3 linked regions of the Mus musculus genome follow. The protein of the gene in region 1 binds, or shares a complex with, the protein of each later gene. Links are inferred from orthologs where the notes say so. Each region holds a gene or a part of one and is shown on either strand. Other genes may lie near its edges.

What was found. The genes of interacting proteins can lie anywhere in the genome.
Region 2: Timm10b (region 1) and Timm29 share a complex: the UniProt entries of both Homo sapiens proteins name them as parts of the TIM22 complex. The link is inferred for Mus musculus from reciprocal best matches to the Homo sapiens genes TIMM10B and TIMM29.
Region 3: the proteins of Timm10b (region 1) and Timm10 are in contact, whole or in part, in a cryo-EM structure (PDB 7CGP), measured with the Homo sapiens proteins. The link is inferred for Mus musculus from reciprocal best matches to the Homo sapiens genes TIMM10B and TIMM10. Residues at the interface, in NP_036324.1 of Homo sapiens: Gln7, Leu11, Leu14, Arg15, Phe17, Leu18, Leu19, Tyr21, Asn22, Arg23, Met24, Thr25, Glu26, Cys28, Phe29, Val33, Pro34, Ser35, Leu36, His37, His38, Arg39, Leu41, Glu46, Leu49, His50, Ala53, Gly54, Ile57, His61; in NP_036588.1 of Homo sapiens: Ala6, Leu9, Leu13, Glu16, Met17, Asp20, Met21, Arg24, Ala28, Lys32, Cys50, Asp52, Arg53, Cys54, Ser56, Lys57, Tyr58, Asp60, Ile61, His62, Glu63, Arg64, Met65, Gly66, Lys68, Leu69, Leu72, Asp76.

Annotation. Positions count from the first base shown.
Region 1 is NC_000073.6:105,638,540-105,643,919, forward strand, and holds Timm10b (mitochondrial import inner membrane translocase subunit Tim10 B), read left to right. Parts: upstream 1-1,905; 5' UTR 1,906-2,053; coding exon 2,054-2,083; exon of another isoform or gene 2,084-2,136; intron 2,137-2,222; coding exon 2,223-2,318; coding exon of another isoform or gene 2,319-2,329; intron 2,330-2,488; coding exon 2,489-2,665; coding exon of another isoform or gene 2,666-2,689; 3' UTR 2,690-3,082; coding exon of another isoform or gene 3,083-3,123; 3' UTR 3,124-3,307; downstream 3,308-5,380. Other genes in the region: Arfip2 (arfaptin-2), read right to left, coding at 470-566, 786-884. UniProt on the Homo sapiens protein: Component of the TIM22 complex, a complex that mediates the import and insertion of multi-pass transmembrane proteins into the mitochondrial inner membrane.
Region 2 is NC_000075.6:21,590,929-21,596,885, reverse strand, and holds Timm29 (mitochondrial import inner membrane translocase subunit Tim29), read right to left. Parts: upstream 4,165-5,957; 5' UTR 3,928-4,164; coding exon 3,816-3,927; intron 3,737-3,815; coding exon 3,048-3,736; 3' UTR 916-3,047; downstream 1-915. Other genes in the region: protein YIPF2, read left to right, coding at 4,328-4,358, 4,668-4,825, 4,906-4,986, 5,372-5,459. UniProt on the Homo sapiens protein: Component of the TIM22 complex, a complex that mediates the import and insertion of multi-pass transmembrane proteins into the mitochondrial inner membrane.
Region 3 is NC_000068.7:84,825,358-84,831,310, reverse strand, and holds Timm10 (mitochondrial import inner membrane translocase subunit Tim10), read right to left. Parts: upstream 4,291-5,953; 5' UTR 4,164-4,290; intron 3,713-4,163; 5' UTR 3,669-3,712; coding exon 3,598-3,668; intron 1,522-3,597; coding exon 1,320-1,521; 3' UTR 1,098-1,319; downstream 1-1,097.

The DNA of each region.
Region 1 (5,380 bases):
GGAGTAGGGTAGGAGTGTTGTTGGTGTACGAGATAAGCGGGAATAGAAGCAAACATGACATGTGCGATTGGCAGGATCAAAGATGGTGAACACAGAAAAACAGAGAAGTTGGCTTATATTTCTAGGTAGAATTCTAGCCAGTAAAAGAGTCTAAAATGAAACTCTGAGAAGCCTCACAAAGCTCCAAACTGGCCTTAAGCTCCTGAGTGCTCATAACCTTAAGGTCTTAACTTGGCTCAGATGGTGGCGGCAAGGAGGAGAAGACGAGTGAGATTATCTTCGAGACTGACTGGCCAGTGGGAGGCAGATGGGCAACTCTGGGAGCTGGCCTGGGACTGGACTGTCTATGAACTTCACACCAGCAGTTCGCAAGCTCTCCAGTCCAGGAGTCAAGCTTTCCTGTATGTGTCTATGTGCCTGCAAACTGTCTCAACACCCCACCCCTCAAGCCTATCTCTATCATTCATACCTGTGGGGATGAGTCCGTCACCAGAGCCCCCATAGCCACCAGACACAATGCTAGTTTCATTGAGGTTGGGTCCTGACACCATCACCTGCTGGAGGTCCTATAGGTCAGAGAAGAGGGGGGCACCTCAGGAACACAGGGATGGATGAAACATTTTGGGGACGGAGACAGTGCATAGTAAAGTCTGTACAGAACCATAAAGAAGATTTGAAAAGTATGAAGGAGTTTAGTTAACTGAAGGCTACCGGGACAGGGGAAATTAAAGGTTTATAAGTCAGGAATGTATAACAAAACAATGAGAAGAATCAAACAGAAGCACCTGCTCCAGCCCATCGTCTTCAGGAAGCTGCCCAGCTTCGCCATTTCCGTGGATGGGAATCTCCATTGTGGCTGCCTTCCCTAGAATCCCGTCCGTCATGGCTAGGGAAGGGACTGGAGTCAAGGTCTCCACCCCAGCACGCTGTAAAGCCCAACACAGACAATTCTGGAAACTGGCCAGCACTCCAGAACAAGGAGGCCTTCCCTGTGTTCTCAGAGGTTTCAGGGGTTGTCTTTGGGCTTGGGTGTCCTGGGATCAGCCACCACGGCTTTCCTTGAGTTTGTGTGTTTCTTCTCTTCTGAGGACATTATCTCTACAGATGCATGCATACCAAAGCCTCGGGTGTCTTCTCATAACCCCCCTACCTCGCCTTCAGTAACCATTCATGCATTCAGTCATTCAACAACTATCTAGTGAGTGTCTATTATGAGTGAGATACTGAGGCAATGGGATTATAGCAGTGAGGACCAGAGGGGAGGTCTATGCTCTCTGGGAACTTAACCCTGCAGAGGCAATGTTTACCAGAACCCTTTCCTAGGCTCAGACTCTCACTTGCCACTCAGGCATGCTCTACAATCCTGGTCTTTCACATTCTTTGGTGTTCCTTCCCCTCTTCCTTCAGCCGGTCTGGGCTCTTCCTTTCTCCATCTCATGCACCTGACTCCCTTAGGCCCTCCCCAGCAGGCCTTGGTTGAAGCAGTTAGTGAATGTTCCTGGTGTCAGGTGAAAGGCTCTCTTTCCCAGGACACGGGCAATCCCTTCCAAAGTCAGCTGAAGCCTCCCAGATGTGAGGGGCTCCCCCCACCCCCATACACCTGGGCATCAGGTGTGTCCTCATCCTTGCCAAGGGCTCAGGGCATTTTGCCCTCAGTACAGGTTCGTGCGTTCAACTTCCCTTCGTCCAAGTATGTCCTTCTCACCTGGGCCGGGCCGCTCTTCCCCTCAGGGCGCGAGGCCCGGACCGCGCGGGGACCTCGGGTTCCAGTTCTCGTCGCGATCCTAGCAGCAGGTCAGAGATTTGGCGGAAGTGACATGCTCTCTGGGCAGAAGAAGCCGGCCACGTCGCAGAGAAAAAGGGCGGAAGTGACGTTTGCAGTTGTGGGCAGGACGAGCCTGGAGCTACGCCTTCAAGCTCTTGGGGAGTAGTGAGAGTTTACTTCCGGGGCGACTCTGAGAGCTCTAACCTCCCCCCTCCGCCCCCCCAACCCCGCGCCACCCTGCCACCCCGCCACGGGCGGAAGTGACTAGGGCTGTGCGCCCTTGGCGTGATGGAGCAGCAGCAGCAGCAACTGAGAAACGTGAGTGAGAGCGCAGTTGCTCTCTGGGTTAGACGTGCAGTTTGTTTCCAGGGGTACACGCAAGAACCCGAGGGGGAGACGGGCTGTGCATCCCGGGGAGCCTTAGCGGTGGTGAAGTCGTGGTTCCCTTTTCTCTCAGTTGCGAGACTTCCTGTTGGTCTACAATCGGATGACAGAACTGTGTTTCCAGCGCTGTGTGCCCAGCCTGCACCACCGAGCTCTGGACGCTGAGGAGGTGGAGACAGTGTGGGGGTCCCAGAGTTGACAACGTGACGTGACACCCTCCCCCAGCCCCCCATCTTCTCCCTCTTTCTTGACCTCACTCCTAGGCTGGGGACCGGGAAGGAAGGAGGCGGGCTTGACTGGACCCCTTTTAGTTTCTACTTCCCTCCGTCTTCCTTCCAGGAGGCCTGCCTGCACAGCTGTGCTGGGAAACTCATCCATTCTAACCACCGCCTCATGGCCGCTTACGTGCACCTCATGCCCGCCCTGGTCCAGCGCCGCATCGCGGACTACGAGGCTGCCTCGGCCGCGCCAGGTATTCCTGCAGAACAGACCAGAGACTCGCCATCAGGCAGCTAGCCGTCCCTGGCCCCTGGAGAGAAGGTGCTTGGATGGGCTCCTCTATGGACCTTGGGCTTATCTAAATGTGTACAGAGAGATTGAGCTTGAAAGCTGGGTGCTGTTGCTCCTTTTCTTGGAGCCAATAAACCCGTTTTTACAGTCTGGTTATTTGTCTATGGGTACCAGCCTTTATTCTGTCATCTAGTGCATGTGTACTGCCTTTAGCCCTGGAGGTTGATGTAGTGCCTTCTTATGTGTAGAAGGACAAATTCAGCATTCCCAGCACCCCAGCAAAAGCAGGGATTATGGGTAGAGCTTTAAGGTTAGTAATAGCAATGGGAAATTGGTTCCAAAAGGAGAGCTCTCAGTGGCTGTCCTTGGGACTAACTCAAGGACCTGAATATACATTGACTCATAACTAGTTTTTATTTTCAGCTGTCAAAAAGAATTGCTGTGAACCTAGGGGAAGAAGGTAAAACCAAACAACAAAAGCAGGAAGAAAACTCTACCCCCTTAGGCTTTAGCCACTGCTTCCTAGGAGGTCAGTGACAACAGAACAAAGACAAGCCTCTAAGAATTCAGGAATGTTGACCATTTCCCCAATTTACTCTCTTAGTACTTCCTGCCTTTGTGAAATTAGCAATAAAGACTTTAAACAAAGAAGTGCTTTCTTGTCTTCAGAGTCAGTCAGGAAGGCAGCATTGGTCAAACCTCAGGAAGAGAACTCGAGGGAGAGGGAGATGGTGTTAGGGAGGGATGGTTAAATGCCATCTGTGCCCCTCCTCTTCGGGTTTGACTGCTTGTCTAATCTAGTTTCAGCTCTCTACCCTGTGCCTTACACTAGTCTCACTGTAACTGCTCTGATGCCAGCTTCTCTATTCTTGTTTCATTACTCCCCACCCCCTCTTGTGGGATTCACATGTGTATTCAGGAGGAGTCCTTTCCTGGCAGCTGCCGGTTCTGTGACTTCATTCCTAGTGTGGAGATGGGGAAGGAAGGAGGATGTGGCATGTACCACCTTGTGGGGCTTCAAGGATGACAGCCTGCAGGGCAAGCGACAGCATGGGGTCTGCATTTATTACTGTTTTACAGGAGATGGAGCACAAGTACTTGTGCTTGCCAGGCAAGAACTTTTTTTTTTTTTTTTTTTTTAATGTCAGGCTATAAACCATTCTTAGTGCTCAATGGCTTCTGGACACTGAGCATAGAAAGAGCCACTTGCTCTTTGCCCCAATGTCACAGGCAGGGCTGAGCAGCTAGGCCAGGTCTGTGGTGCTGATCTAGGACAGCATCTTCAGGGCAGCAGGCAGGAACTTGTAACAACTAAGCTCCCCACTTCCTCTTCACTGCTTCCCGTAATTCCATCCCATCCCTTCCCTTCCAGTATTGCATCAGGTGACCAGCTTTCTTTTTTCTTTTTTCTTTTTTTTAAACAGAGGAATTAAATTCCTCGTCAAAACCAACTATTCACAGAGCAGATTTGCAGAGCAGATTTGCTGTCCTACCCCCCACCTATAGGTCAGAAATAGGCATCTATTTATTTATTTATTTATTTATTTATTTATTTAGAGATGTGGTCTCATGTACCCAAGGCTGACCTGGAAATTGTAACTAAAGATGACCTTGAACTCCTGGTCCTTCTGCCTCTACCTCCCAAGTGTTGGCCAGCCAAAAAGTTGAAAATCTTAGTTGATTCCATATTGAGAGGCAGATCTTGCTCCAAGGCTTGTTATACATGCCTGTAATCCTTAACAGGGCAAGAATTGTAAGTTTGGAAGCAGTCTGCACTGTTAGATCAAGACTCTACCAATAAAGTGCAGCTGGAACATTAAGCCTGATATTCTTTGCACTACAGCAGGCTGTTTCTCTAAATCGTGTCTGTTGAGTTATTTTGTATAAATTTATCATACTTACTCCTTTTAATTGTGAAACTAGGAGGTATTATTTTTCACTAGACAGGTAAAGAAGCAAGAAAGCAGACCTTAGGAGAGCCCTGTCTTACACAGTTCTTGGAAAGCAGATTTTGGTGTGTCACTTTCCTTTCTTTTCCTTTCCTTTCCCTTTTCTCTTTTCTTTTCTTTTCTTTTCTTTTCTTTTCTTTTCTTTTTTTCATTTTCCTTTTAGGTGGTTTTGCCGTGGACCCATTGGCCTTCAGCTTGTGATCCTCCTGTCTCAGCCTCCTAGATCCTGGAATTACAGACACAGGCTACAACCTGTTGCTAGATAATTCTTTAGGCATATAAAACTTGCTGACCAGGAGCTTCCTTAAAGAATGACCTGACTACAAGATTAATCTTATTCCTTGACAAGTACACATGTGAGTAGAGCAGCTTGTGAACTTGTTAGTTCCCAAAACCAGGAAGGTGGAGACCCAGGATATTGTGTGGCTGCCGAGAAAGCGCTACGTCAGCACCTGTATGTATCCTTTCAATAAACATGTGCTGTGAGTTGTCTGTGTTTCCTTTCTTCCTATGTCACACATAATTAGTAATTGCTGAAAAAAGACTAGGAAACAGATATGCCCGAAGCCTACTCTCTGAATGACCTGAACTTTTTTTGCTCTGTCTTGTTTTGTTTTTGAGATGGTCTTACTATGCAGTATCACACCTTGGATTCAAATTAGCTGGCCTTTACTTCCAAGTGCTGGGGTCACACCTATGCCCTCCACACTAAGTGTAGAGAGCTCTTACACCTAGCACTATTTGTAGCTTGTTTGCCTTCAATGCAAAAGCA
Region 2 (5,957 bases), on another chromosome or scaffold:
AGGCAGAGGCAGGTGGATTTCTGAGTTCGAGGCCAGCCTGGTCTACAGAGTGAGTTCCAGGACAGCCAGGGCTACACAGAGAAACCATCTCGAAAAACAAAACAAAAACAAAAAAAAAAGAAGTGGAGAGTAGTATGAAACTCTAACTTTCAAGCATGATCCCACTGTTGTACTTAAAAATTATTTGCGCCAGGCGTGGTGGTGCACGCCTTCAACCCCAGCACTTGGGAGGCAGAGGCAGGCAGATTTCTGAGTTCAAGGCCAGCCTGGTCTACAAAGTGAGTTCCAGGATAGCCAGGGCTACACAGAGAAACCCTGTCTTGAAAAAAAAAAATATTTGCACATTGTGTACATGAACATGCTCACACCCATGTGTATGGAGGTCAGAAAATAATCTGCTGGAATTAATTTTATCCTTCCATCAAGTGAGTCTTGAAGATCAGATTCAGGCCCTCGGATTTTATGCAATAAAGTGTCTTTGAACTTGGCCTTCTTACAGCCCCTAGCTGTTGTACTTTGTGATCACCTGTACAGGATCTCCACAAGACTGGAAGGCTCCTCCCCATTTCAGGGATTTGTGTGTCAGTAATAGTTGCTAAAGTAAAGAAGGAAGGGAGGGACGGAGGGAGAGAGGGAAGGAAAGAAGGAAGGAGAGAAAATTCCTTAGTGGTATAGTCAGTCCCTGGAAAGGTTTCCATGAGGTTGTTTAAATCCACACACAATAGTTCTAGGTTAGTTCAGGGCCAGTCTGATCTAGGCCAGCCCAAGATTACAGGATTACATATTGAGACATATTCTCTCTCTCTCTCTCTCTCTCTCTCTCTCTCTCTCTCTCTCACACACACACACACACGTTGGTGCTAATTGGGAAGAGAGGAAACATGGAACTAGGAGTGGATTGCAAGAAACAGTAATGGAGGGTGAATAAGACTATTTCATACACACATAAGAAAATCCTTTAATACACACTAATTAAAACATTTGTAATTCAGATGTGGATTTTTTTTGCAACCCATATTACATTTTAATTTATTTAGTATACATGTAGGTCACAGTGCAAATCGGAGGAGTTAGCTCTTTCTATTGTGTGGGTTCCATAGGATGGACTCAGGTGGTTGCCTTGACTGAACATGTCTTCCCCTGCTGAGCCACCTCACCAGTGCGGGAAGATGTGAATTAACATCATCACCTGGCCAGAAGACTTGAATTCAAGAACTACCTTACCCAGGAGGCGGTGGCACATGCCTTTAATCCTCCCACTTCGGAGTATTACTGAAAAAAACAATCAAAAACAACTACCATACTTTCAATACATCTGATAATGAATAAAGGAGGCAAAACACACAATCACACCACTAGGAGTGGGGGTAGCTCAGTGCAGCACATACTTTGTCTGTCTGAAGCCCCCACCATAAACAAATCCATCACAAAGTGACTGCTTCACCCCCTGCTTTTACCGACTAGCTACAAGCTACCTGATATGGGAAGTTTTGCTTCCCTAATATTTTAGCTTGAAAGGTAATTACTGGAATTTTGCCAGGTCCAACCTATGTTCCCCACCCTGTTCCTTTCCATCCAACCATTTCCGGGGTCCCTGCAGTACAGGACATATGACTGCATGTACACTCTGGGATGAGAACATGTTCCAGCCTTCCACCATGCTTGCAATTGCTGCCATACATATATACAGTAGAATTTGTCGGCCTCTATACCTCTCTCCTGTACTGATAGTAACATACAACGTTACTAGTTAAGCTAGGTCAAAGGTCCTTGGGGACTACATAAAGATATTATCAAACAAAACAAAGAGCCTAAAAGGACTTGGTGTACAGGGCTTGCCTCATATGTACAAGGCCCTGGATTTAATGTCTAGCACAAGTACCCAACAATAACAATCCACAGGGCAGAAATATTTCACTTCATTTGGGAAATGCAGGCAAGAGGAGCCATCACTCACTCATCCATTGCTACACAGTGAGTTTGAGGCTGGTCTGGGCTGTGAGACCACTCTCAGAAACAAATCAAACCAAAACAATCCAATTTGAGACGCAGACAAATCTCTGTGAGTTTAAGGACAGATTGTTCTTCATAGCCAGTTCTGGGGAAGCCAGTGTAACAAACAAACCAAAATCCACAACAAACAAAAACCCTAAACACATACATTTCAGCTCCACCTGAAAAGGAGAGATCTGAGGTCAGGCAAGCTGGCACATGATTTTAGTCCCGATCTTGGGGGATGACTTAGGAGAATCTTTAAACATATGTGCGTGGGTGTTTTGTCTGTGCACCACCACGTGCCTGCCTGGTGTACAAGGAATCCAGAAGAGAAGGCTGGATTGATTCGCTGGCCTGGAGTTACAGATCAAGCTGCTGAGAACTGAGTCGAGGTTCTCCGAAGGGAGGAACAGTCGGGACTCTTTAAACAAGTAGCCTTGGCAACACGGCCAGACCATTATCCTCAAAAAACTTCACTGATACACACTACCAAAAGGGGGGCTGGGGGATTGGTCTTAGGATCTTGGAAGTCACTGGCAGTCAGGACATCTTTGTAGCCCCGTTCATGAACAGGACTAATGCATGGGCGGGGTACTCTGTGGTGCACTAGAGCTAATGCAGGAGTCAGGGCCAGACTGGGCATATGGGAGTCACATTCTCAAAAACGAACCAAATAAACAAAACCCCCAAGACTAAAAGCCCATTTCTGTTCTGTTTTGGCAGTGCAGGAACCCAGGCATGCTAGGCAAACACTCTACCCGTGAAGAACATCCCCAGCTACAACAGGCTACACAGCACAGGCTCCTTACTAGTAGATCTGGGGGCAATTAACACAGTAAGGTCAAGTGCTTCAGCATGTTTAAGAGCAGTCCTTCAGCTCTTCTGTATCTCTAAGACCAGTAAGGCCCCCAAGTTTCTTCGGCTAACCGGACAGAGTGAGGACTTCCCATAAAATCACAATAAGGGCCATTTATCTCTACCCATCTCACCAATTGCACCATCCACAGCCAACAGTTTGCCTGCGCCTGGTGACCCGGGGGCAATCCTGGGTTTCATCTGGAAACATCGGACTGAACCAGTGAATCAGCCTCGCTCAAAGCTAGCCGATCCTTTCTCTCCTTCTGTAACACCTGCTCCTCCCACAGCGCCTGATCCACCTGATCGTCGGTGAGTATGATCGGCTTGTACTTCTCCTCGAACAGCCTCTCATTGGCCTCTGAGTGCAGCTGGTGAGGCGCGACGACGCGGAGATGAGCGGGCAGATGGAGAAACTCGTCGTCGTTGATGTCGCAATCATGCATGCGATTCTGCAGAATCCACCAGCGGCCAACGAAACCCACGTCGAGGATCCGGCCGGGGAAGTCCACCCAGCGTGGCTGCAGGTAGCGGCAGCGGGCCTGGTAGAGGCTGGCCTGGGCGTCGAAGGGCGCTTCGTAAACCAGCGAGCAAAAGCCCAGGTTCACGTGACGCAGCCGCCCACGGCCCCTCAGCCACAGCAGGCGCTGCAGGAACGCCTCCGAGTGGCGGTTGCGCGTGGCCGGTGCCAAGAGCAACAGTGACCCCGATGCGTCCAGCAAGGCCTCCTCGAAGGCCGCCTCACTGGGCGCCAGCGCGCAGCACGCAGCCGCGCCGCCCAGAAGCCCCACGTACAGGGCCGCGCGGCCCGGTCGAGCTCGCGCCGCAGCCGCCGCGTCCCCGCACGCCTCAGCGTAGTCCCGGAGCAGCGCGCCGGCCCAGGTGCCTGAGGGGAAAAAAGAGCTGCGGTGACAAGGACTCGACCACTCGAGCCACCCACCCTGCAGCCTTCTGCCACTACTCACTCAGTCGCGTCCACAGCCCTGGCTTAACCGCCACCGTCGTGGCACCACCGGCCTCTCCTCCCGCTTCACCGTGCCCACCGGACCAGAATCTCTTAAGAGCCGCTGTCACCATCGTCTCCCTGCGGTTCCTCAGCCGAGTAGAAACGCATAGTGTCGGAATGAAAAAGGCCGGAGAGTAGATCCTGCGCAAGCGCAAGATACAGGAAGTAGTTTCCCACAGGAAGACAATAGGAAACGGACCTAAACGGATGTTGCCGTTGTGTGGAGAAGGGTGGGCTCTGAAGGGAAGTCGAGCGGCGCGCACGCGCATAGAGCAATAGCCACGCCAGCTTAGGTAGGCTCAGGTGAGGAAGGTGGGGTGCATCTGAAGGGACCCAGCTTGGAGCTGAAGTTCCATTCCGTGTATTAGGCTCCATGCAGGAGTCCAGACGGAAGCATCAGTCTTGGGGAGGGCTGTGGGATTGATGCGGTTCTGTCCACAGAGTGCGATGCGGTGACGCCTCTAAAGAGTCATGGCAGCAGCTGACGAACTGGCCTTCCACGGTGAGTGGAGCCCGGAAGTGGTCAGAGCTCCTACCTCAGTCCTAAGCTAGAACCCCAGGCAGCTGGGACCCAGACCTCAGGTTTATCTTGCACTCAATTCCTGCTTCTTCCATGAACTCAAAAGGCACATCACAGCGTCCAATTCTGCACAGGACCTAAATTGAATCCCATCTTAGTAGACAGACCTATCCATGCATCAAAACTGAAGAAACTCAGCCCTTAGGGGACGGCGGTAAGGCAGCCATAGCCCCAGTTGATGAAAGGAATTTTCAGATTCCAAACACCTATGCCCATATTCCCTCTCCGTAGAGTTCGAGGAAGCCACAAATCTTCTGGCAGAGACCCCAGATGCAGCTACTACTAGCCAAAGTGATGAGCTGACCTCCCGAGAGCACGTGGCTGTGGTTGTGGGTTCAGGCATTGGCTATGGAGCTGAAGTAGGGGAGGAAGAGGATGACAAGACATCAGTGAGTCTCCTAGGCCCCGATGATCTGCCTCTGTTCTTACCCTGGCTGAGCAGGCAAGTTCTGAGTCTTTTGTCTTATAGCTTCTACAGGAAGAAAAACCACAGCCCAGATTCTGGACATTTGACTACTATCAGAGCTTTTTTGATGTGGATACCTCCCAGGTAAGGCACTTGGAGTTGCTTGGAGTCCAGCCACTATACTTGAGGACTGAATGGGTATGGTGGGGCTGGAAGGCAAAAGCTAGGTTACAAAGTAGGCGTGGATAGGTGTGTGACTTAAAGCCAGAATGTTTCCCAGTCAAGCCAACCTCTAATGATAGACCAGGTCCAGTGAGAGGGTACATCCTGGAGATGTAGTTGCAAGACCATCCAGAACTTAGGGACTGTCCTTACTTTGAGAGGAGAGGCTGCAAGAAGCTGAAAGCAAGGTGACAGGCCTGAAATCCACCTTCACAGTGGTGACATGTTCGAGCTTGTTCAGTAGGATGTGCTGACACCTCTCAGAACACCAGGATTCTCATTCTAGACCCTGGGCTTTGCTTTCCAGGTCTTGGACAGGATCAAAGGCTCCCTGCTGCCCCATCCTGGCCACAACTTTGTGCGGCACCATCTTAGAAACCGTCCCGACCTATATGGTAAATGGGGGTTTATGTTTGAATCAATGTAGTATTTACTTAAACATGGGACTGTACCAGGCCCTGAAATGGGCAGTCATGCATGAAGAGCAAAACTCGTGTTTAGTTGAGGGAGGCACCAAGATGGAAAGCAGAAGGTGGGTAGGTCTGGCTAACTCAGAGGGTGTTAGGGAAGTCATGAAGGTCCCTGACTAGGGTAGGCAAATGAGTTATGCTAACATTGGTGGTGAGAGGCTTAGAAGAGGACCCAGAAAGCCTCTAGGTCCCATGGTGGAAACAATTGAACTGTATGGCAGCATAGATCAGTGCAGTAGACGGAGGAGCAGGAAGGCCATGAGCAGGGGTGAGTACACAGGTCCCAGAGTGGTGAGAAGGGATCTTACTGAGATCTTTTTGGGATTTCCTCTGGCTCTGGAAAGTGAGGATAGAAGCCAACAAGAGCAGGCAGGCACAGACGTGACATTGGAGGCTATGACGAAGAACGCTTGGTTCTAGAGG
Region 3 (5,953 bases), on another chromosome or scaffold:
TTTCCTAACTATACCTTTACCTGGGTGGGTGGGCGCTCTCATACACTGAACAGTGACTGGGGAACAGTCTCAATCAGGAAAACACAGATGGTGACGTCCCCACTCAGGTCCCGGCCTAGATTGCTTTCCAGGATGGCTGACCCACATCCCATCTTGACAGTACTATAGCTATCTAGTAACACCTGGAGCAGAGTGGCTACTTGCTCACAAAATCCTATCCACTGTCACATCCTCTAAATCGCTCCTTTTTGATGTGGAGAAATGGCCTGCTTGCCTCCACTTACTATCCAGCTTTAAAAGATACTTAGTGCTTCCTATACCAAGTCACTCTACTATATCACAGAGATGTAGCACATTCAGAGTCACACAGCAAGCATCAAACTCTAAGCACAAACCTACCAGTCCCACTGGTCTATAGACTTAAAGCACTGTGTTAAGGTACACAACCATTGGGCTGGAAAGATGGCTTAGTGGTTAAGAGCACTGACTCCTGCTCCAGAGGTCCTGAGTTCAATTCCCAGCAACCACAAGGTGGTTCACAATCATCTGTAATAGGATCTGATACCCTCTTCTGGTGTGTCTGAAGACAGCTACAGTGTACTTATACACATAAAATCTTAAAATTAAAAAAAGGGGTGGGGGGGAGCCGGACGTGGTGGCGCACGCCTTTAATCCCAGCACTTTCGAGGCAGAGACAGGCGAATTTCTGAGTTCGGCTACACAAAGAAACCGTCTCTTGAAAAAACGGAAAAAAAAAAAAGGGTGGGGTGGGGTGGGAGTACACACCTGTAATCACAGCATTTAGAGGCTGACACAGGAAGACTGAGATTGAAGCCAGAAGCAGACCGGGCTGCATAATAAAACCTCACCTCAAGATACAAGCAACTTGCTGAGCATGGTGGCACACATCTGAATCCCAGCACTTGAGAGGCAGAAGCAGGTGGATCTCCGTGAGTTTGAGGACAAACTGGTCTACAGAGTGAGATCCTGTACTTAAGAACAAAACAAAAAACCCCAACCCCACAAATAGAAAGACCCACTGCATTAAATTCCCTCTACTTTTGGATGACTCTTTACTCTCAAGTAAAGACACTGCGTTGCACAAATTTGTTTTAATAAGATATATACATATACACACATACACAGTCACAAACCAGCGTGACAAGTCCCCTTCTTCAGCCAGGAGAGCTCTACTACACGCAGGGGTCCTGGAGATGCTCAAGGGCCTAAGTATGACAGGTTTCACATGTGACATCCATTAGGGACACTTTAATCAGGCAAGTGGCAAGGTACACCTCAGGTGTAGACAGCCTGGGGCGTCATGCAGGCCCCGAGCTCTGCTGTACCCTCTTCATCAGCTCCTCATCCTGCATTGACAGCTCTGTCAACTTTTTGCCCATCCTCTCATGGATGTCCAAGTACTTGGATACACATCGGTCCAGACACACAGACTCGCCTTTGGACAGCTCTGCCTCCTTGTAGTGGGGAGGCACGCACTTCCGGTGGCAGGCACTGGTCATTCTGGGATTAGAGAAGAACAAGGTTGTATCAGTGACTTCCTGGAGCATCCCAGGCACCTTCAACAAGCCCAACCCTGCTGCATTGATTCTTGCCTCGTTCCCTCCGTCAAGAAAACAGCGGGAACCCCCAGTTTTCACTTCAACCACCTTGGAACGCTTTTCCAACTAAGACTCTTCTTTGAGTCATGTACAAGACTAGTTAAAGAGGAAGCACTTGCTGAACACCGGCTGTGTGCCAGGCGTCACGCTAAGGGCTAATACAGGTTCTGTCATGCAACCCTCACAGTAACCCACTGGGGCAGGCACAATCACTATCCCCACTTTACAGACGAGGAAATTAAGACACAGCTCAGTAAGAGCTGAGGGTCACACAAAGCTAGGTAGTCTGACTGCGCAGTCTGTATTTTAAAAACCATTCCAATTTGTAGTCTCCAAGACAAACCTACCGAGAGCTGCTGTCGAAAACCAGCAGATACCTGCTGGTTCCTGTATGATGTGCTAATGCTAGAGGCTTTCAGTTTAATATTGCAATGTCTTTATGGAGGGAGCAGTGCTTCTTAGGTCAGTTTTACTGATGAGTAACCAGTTATGACATTCAGCCTAAAGACACTCAGCTGCTGATGGTGCAGCAAGATGTTTCCAAACGGCTACAAGCAGTAGTTTGAAGTCAGGCTGAAGTTCTGGTCCTGACATTGCTACTGACCAGCTACAGCCCCTGAGATTATTAAACCCCTTGACACCTCAATTCCCCTGTGTTAAAATAGTACTAATAAAATTAACCCACTGATTTTCTTTCTTTCTTCCCTTTCTTTCTTTTGAGACTGGTCTCATCTATCCCAGGCTGGTTTTGAACCCACTATATAGCCAAGAATGATCCTGAACTATTTAGTCTCTGGCCTCTAACTGCTGAAATTATAGGCACCATGTCAAGATCAAACCAAGGGCATCCTGCATTCTAGACAAAAATCCTACGTTATTATATCCCCTTCTCCCTTTGAATTATTTTTAACTATTTACAAAACTGATAATGGGGGCCTGGAAAGTGGTTAAGAGAACTGACTGCTCTTGCAGAGGACCTAGGTTAGGTTCCCAGCACCCACACGGTAGCCCACAACTATCTTTGACTCCAGTTCCTGGAGATATGATGCCCTCTACTGGCCTCTGCGGGCATGCAAGCAAAACATCCATACACAGAAAACAAGTAAACAAACAAATAAATAAATTTAAAGTGATAATATATATAAAATGCTTTGCAAATGCCTAACACAGAGTTAAAGTATAATTTAGGCCGAGTGTGCACACCTTTAATCCCAGCACCCAAGAGAATGAGACAGGTGGATCTCTGAGAGTGAGGCCAGCCTGGTCTATACAGATTAAGCTGACAACCAAGGCAACACAGAGAAGCCCCATCGTGAAAAACAAGAACAAAACAACATCCACTCCATCCCCCCCAAAAAGGAAGAAAAACATTAATAAATATTAGCAACTAAATACTATTCATTACTAAATGGCTGTTCAGAAGGCTTAGGCGGCAAAGGCACTTGCTGCCAAACCAGAAGATTTGAGTTCAATCCAAGATGAGATCCTATTAAGCTGCCCTCTGACCTCCACATGTGTGGCGCTATGGCATGCATGTTGGCATTCATAAACAAACACAAAATACATAAACTACATAAACAAGGGTAAATGGGCTATCTAAGGAGAAAGAAAGATGGAAACGAGGAGAGAAGAGAAGAGAAGAGAAGAGAAGAGAAGAGAAGAGAAGAGAAGAGAAGAGAAGAGAAGAGAAGAGAAGAGAAGAGAAAGTGCTTATATGTTCTTGATACTCAGCAGAGCCTGGGCAGGAGATTCTCCATCATACACCCCTTTTATTCCCTCCAAATAGCCAACCAAGTCCTTCCAGTGACCTGTATTTACTTCAGCGAAGCACGCGGTGAGGGTGGGGCGGGATTAGGAGGGCGGGACTTGGCTCCACTACCTTATCGAAAGCATTCGTTACAAGTGCTTCACTCTGTCGGGCTAGGGGTGACTAGGGCGAGTTTTCCTAGACAAGGTGAAGCCGAGTGCTTCTCTTTACCTGTTGTACATGTCAGCCATCATCTCCACCTCCAGCTCCGCAGCCAGCTGCTGGGCTCTGAGCGGATCCATGTCAACTTAGCACCGTGGAGAGAATAGCCTCCTGGTCTTTAGTCCTAGGAGCGGACATGATCAGTCAGCATCGATCCCTCCCGGTTCACCCTAGTACCACCCCCCCGGGGGGGCTGGAGGGCGCGAGGAATTACAGTGTTTCAGACCAGCGGGGACCAATACCCCGCTCAGTAAACGTAATCAGCCCTCTTAACAGAAGTGGAGATGAGGCCCTTAAAGAGGACAGTGTCCAGCTCAAGGTCACTCGCGATGTCATGGGGCTCGGGGATGGAAACCGAGCCCTCTTAGTACCTCGAGATCACTCCTAGAGCCAGAGGATTGACAGTTGGGACGGAACACACAAAACCGTGGGTCTGAACCCATGCAGCCCCGAGAATGTGACCCTAACCACAGCCTAGGTTCCCGGGGTGGGTCTAAAGGCTGAGCCTCTGTCACGGCAATGGCATAATCAGGAATCAGGGTTACCCTGGGTATCAGACACCACGGCCCACTCACCACGGCCTGGGGCAGGTCACAGCTCCCGCAACGTCCCCAACTTCGGGTCAATAGTAAAAAGTTACCGGGTACCAAGGCAGGCGAAATAAGAAGCACGTGGGTCACTTCCGGAAGGAAGTCTAGCCTCTTCTTTGATCCGGAAGAAAACGCCGACCAGGCTGCGCTGGGAAACCGGCTACCATAGAGAAACCGACCTTAATTTGCTAGAGTGGACTCCAAAGTACCATAGAATGCTGAGTGAGTGGCAGAGCGCCGGCAGCCTTGTTAGCATTCCATCCCTCCGGTTGTCCGGGAGACGCCTGAGCGTTTGCAGTGTGGAAGAAGCTTGGCTCCCTGAACCCACCATGGAGAGCCCACGCCAGAGCGCAGACGGATCTTATGTGAAGAAAGGAGAACGTTTCCCAAAGGAGCCTGTCAATTTTGCATGTTAAAACACCTGGAGCACTTTAAAAAAAAAAAAAAAAAAAAAAAAAAAACACCTCAGCGCCCAGACGTTACCTCATACCCCTGAAATCAGAATCCCGGGGAGCAGTGTGCAACATTAACTAGTGGAGTTGCAGAGAAGATACACGATCGCTGCTCGCAGAAAAAAAGAAACATGTATAGAGATTGTCTTTATTTGCTTTTGAGGCAGGGTCCCATGGAACCTAGGCTGCTCTCTAATTTGCGGTGTAGCCGAAGATGACCTAGAACTTACGAACCTGCCTCCACCTCACTAGTGCTTCGGCTACAGATAAGCGCCATTATGCCTGACTTTTGCAATGTTGGGATGAAAACAGGACCACATGCTTAGGCAAGCACTCTATCAACTGCCCCAGTGCTGCAACATGTTTTACTGCACTTCTTTATTATAGCCCTACACATGCACAATAAATAAAGTAAGTAAATAAATAAATGTAATAATAAAAAGCATTGGGTTTATCCCTTTAAAATTTTATTAGGGCAAATTCACAACACAGAACACAGTCTAATGAACGTCATTGAATCTATCCCCAAGATTTAATAATTCTTACTATTTAGTCACATTTTCTTGATCTATTATCTTTAGCAGATGAAGTCTTTTTCCCAAAGTGCTATTTTCACATTCTCAGCTAATAGTGATGTTTTTTTCATCTCTCTTCCACAGTGCTGAAGGTTGAATCCAGGGTCTCATGCAAACCCTCCACAACTGAACTACACAGGTCATTTGATATACTATTTTTAAATTTAAATTTATTTATAAGAACATGTGTCCTTGGGCTGGAGAGATGGCTCAGTGGCTAAGAGTACTGACTGCTGTTCCAGAGGTCTTGAGTTCAATTCCCAGCAACCACAAGGTGACTCACAACCATCTGTAATGGAATCCAGTGCCTCTTCTGGTGTGTCAGAGCTACAGTGTACTCATAGATACAGAAAATAAATATATTGAAGAAGGAGGAGGAGGAGCCCATGGTAGGATCAAAGGAGGTCAAAGGACAACTGATTCTCGCAGCAACCAGAGTGATGTAAAAAACAAACAAACAAACAAACAAACAAAAAAAAACCCTACAACTGGATCATGTCACTCACCCCCTAGATGCTGCAGTAGTTTCTCATCATGGAGAAAGCCAAAGTCTTCTCAATAGCTTATAAGACCCTGCACTGCTTCTCTCCATGATGTGATCCATCCCCTGAGAAGAGCAAACTATAGGACAAATGGCTTACCTTGGCTTTTGGTTCACTCTATTCCACTGCGTCAAGGAAGGCATTGTGGCAGGAATGGGAGGCAACTGGTCATAGCATGTCCATAGCCAAGACACACAGAAGAATGC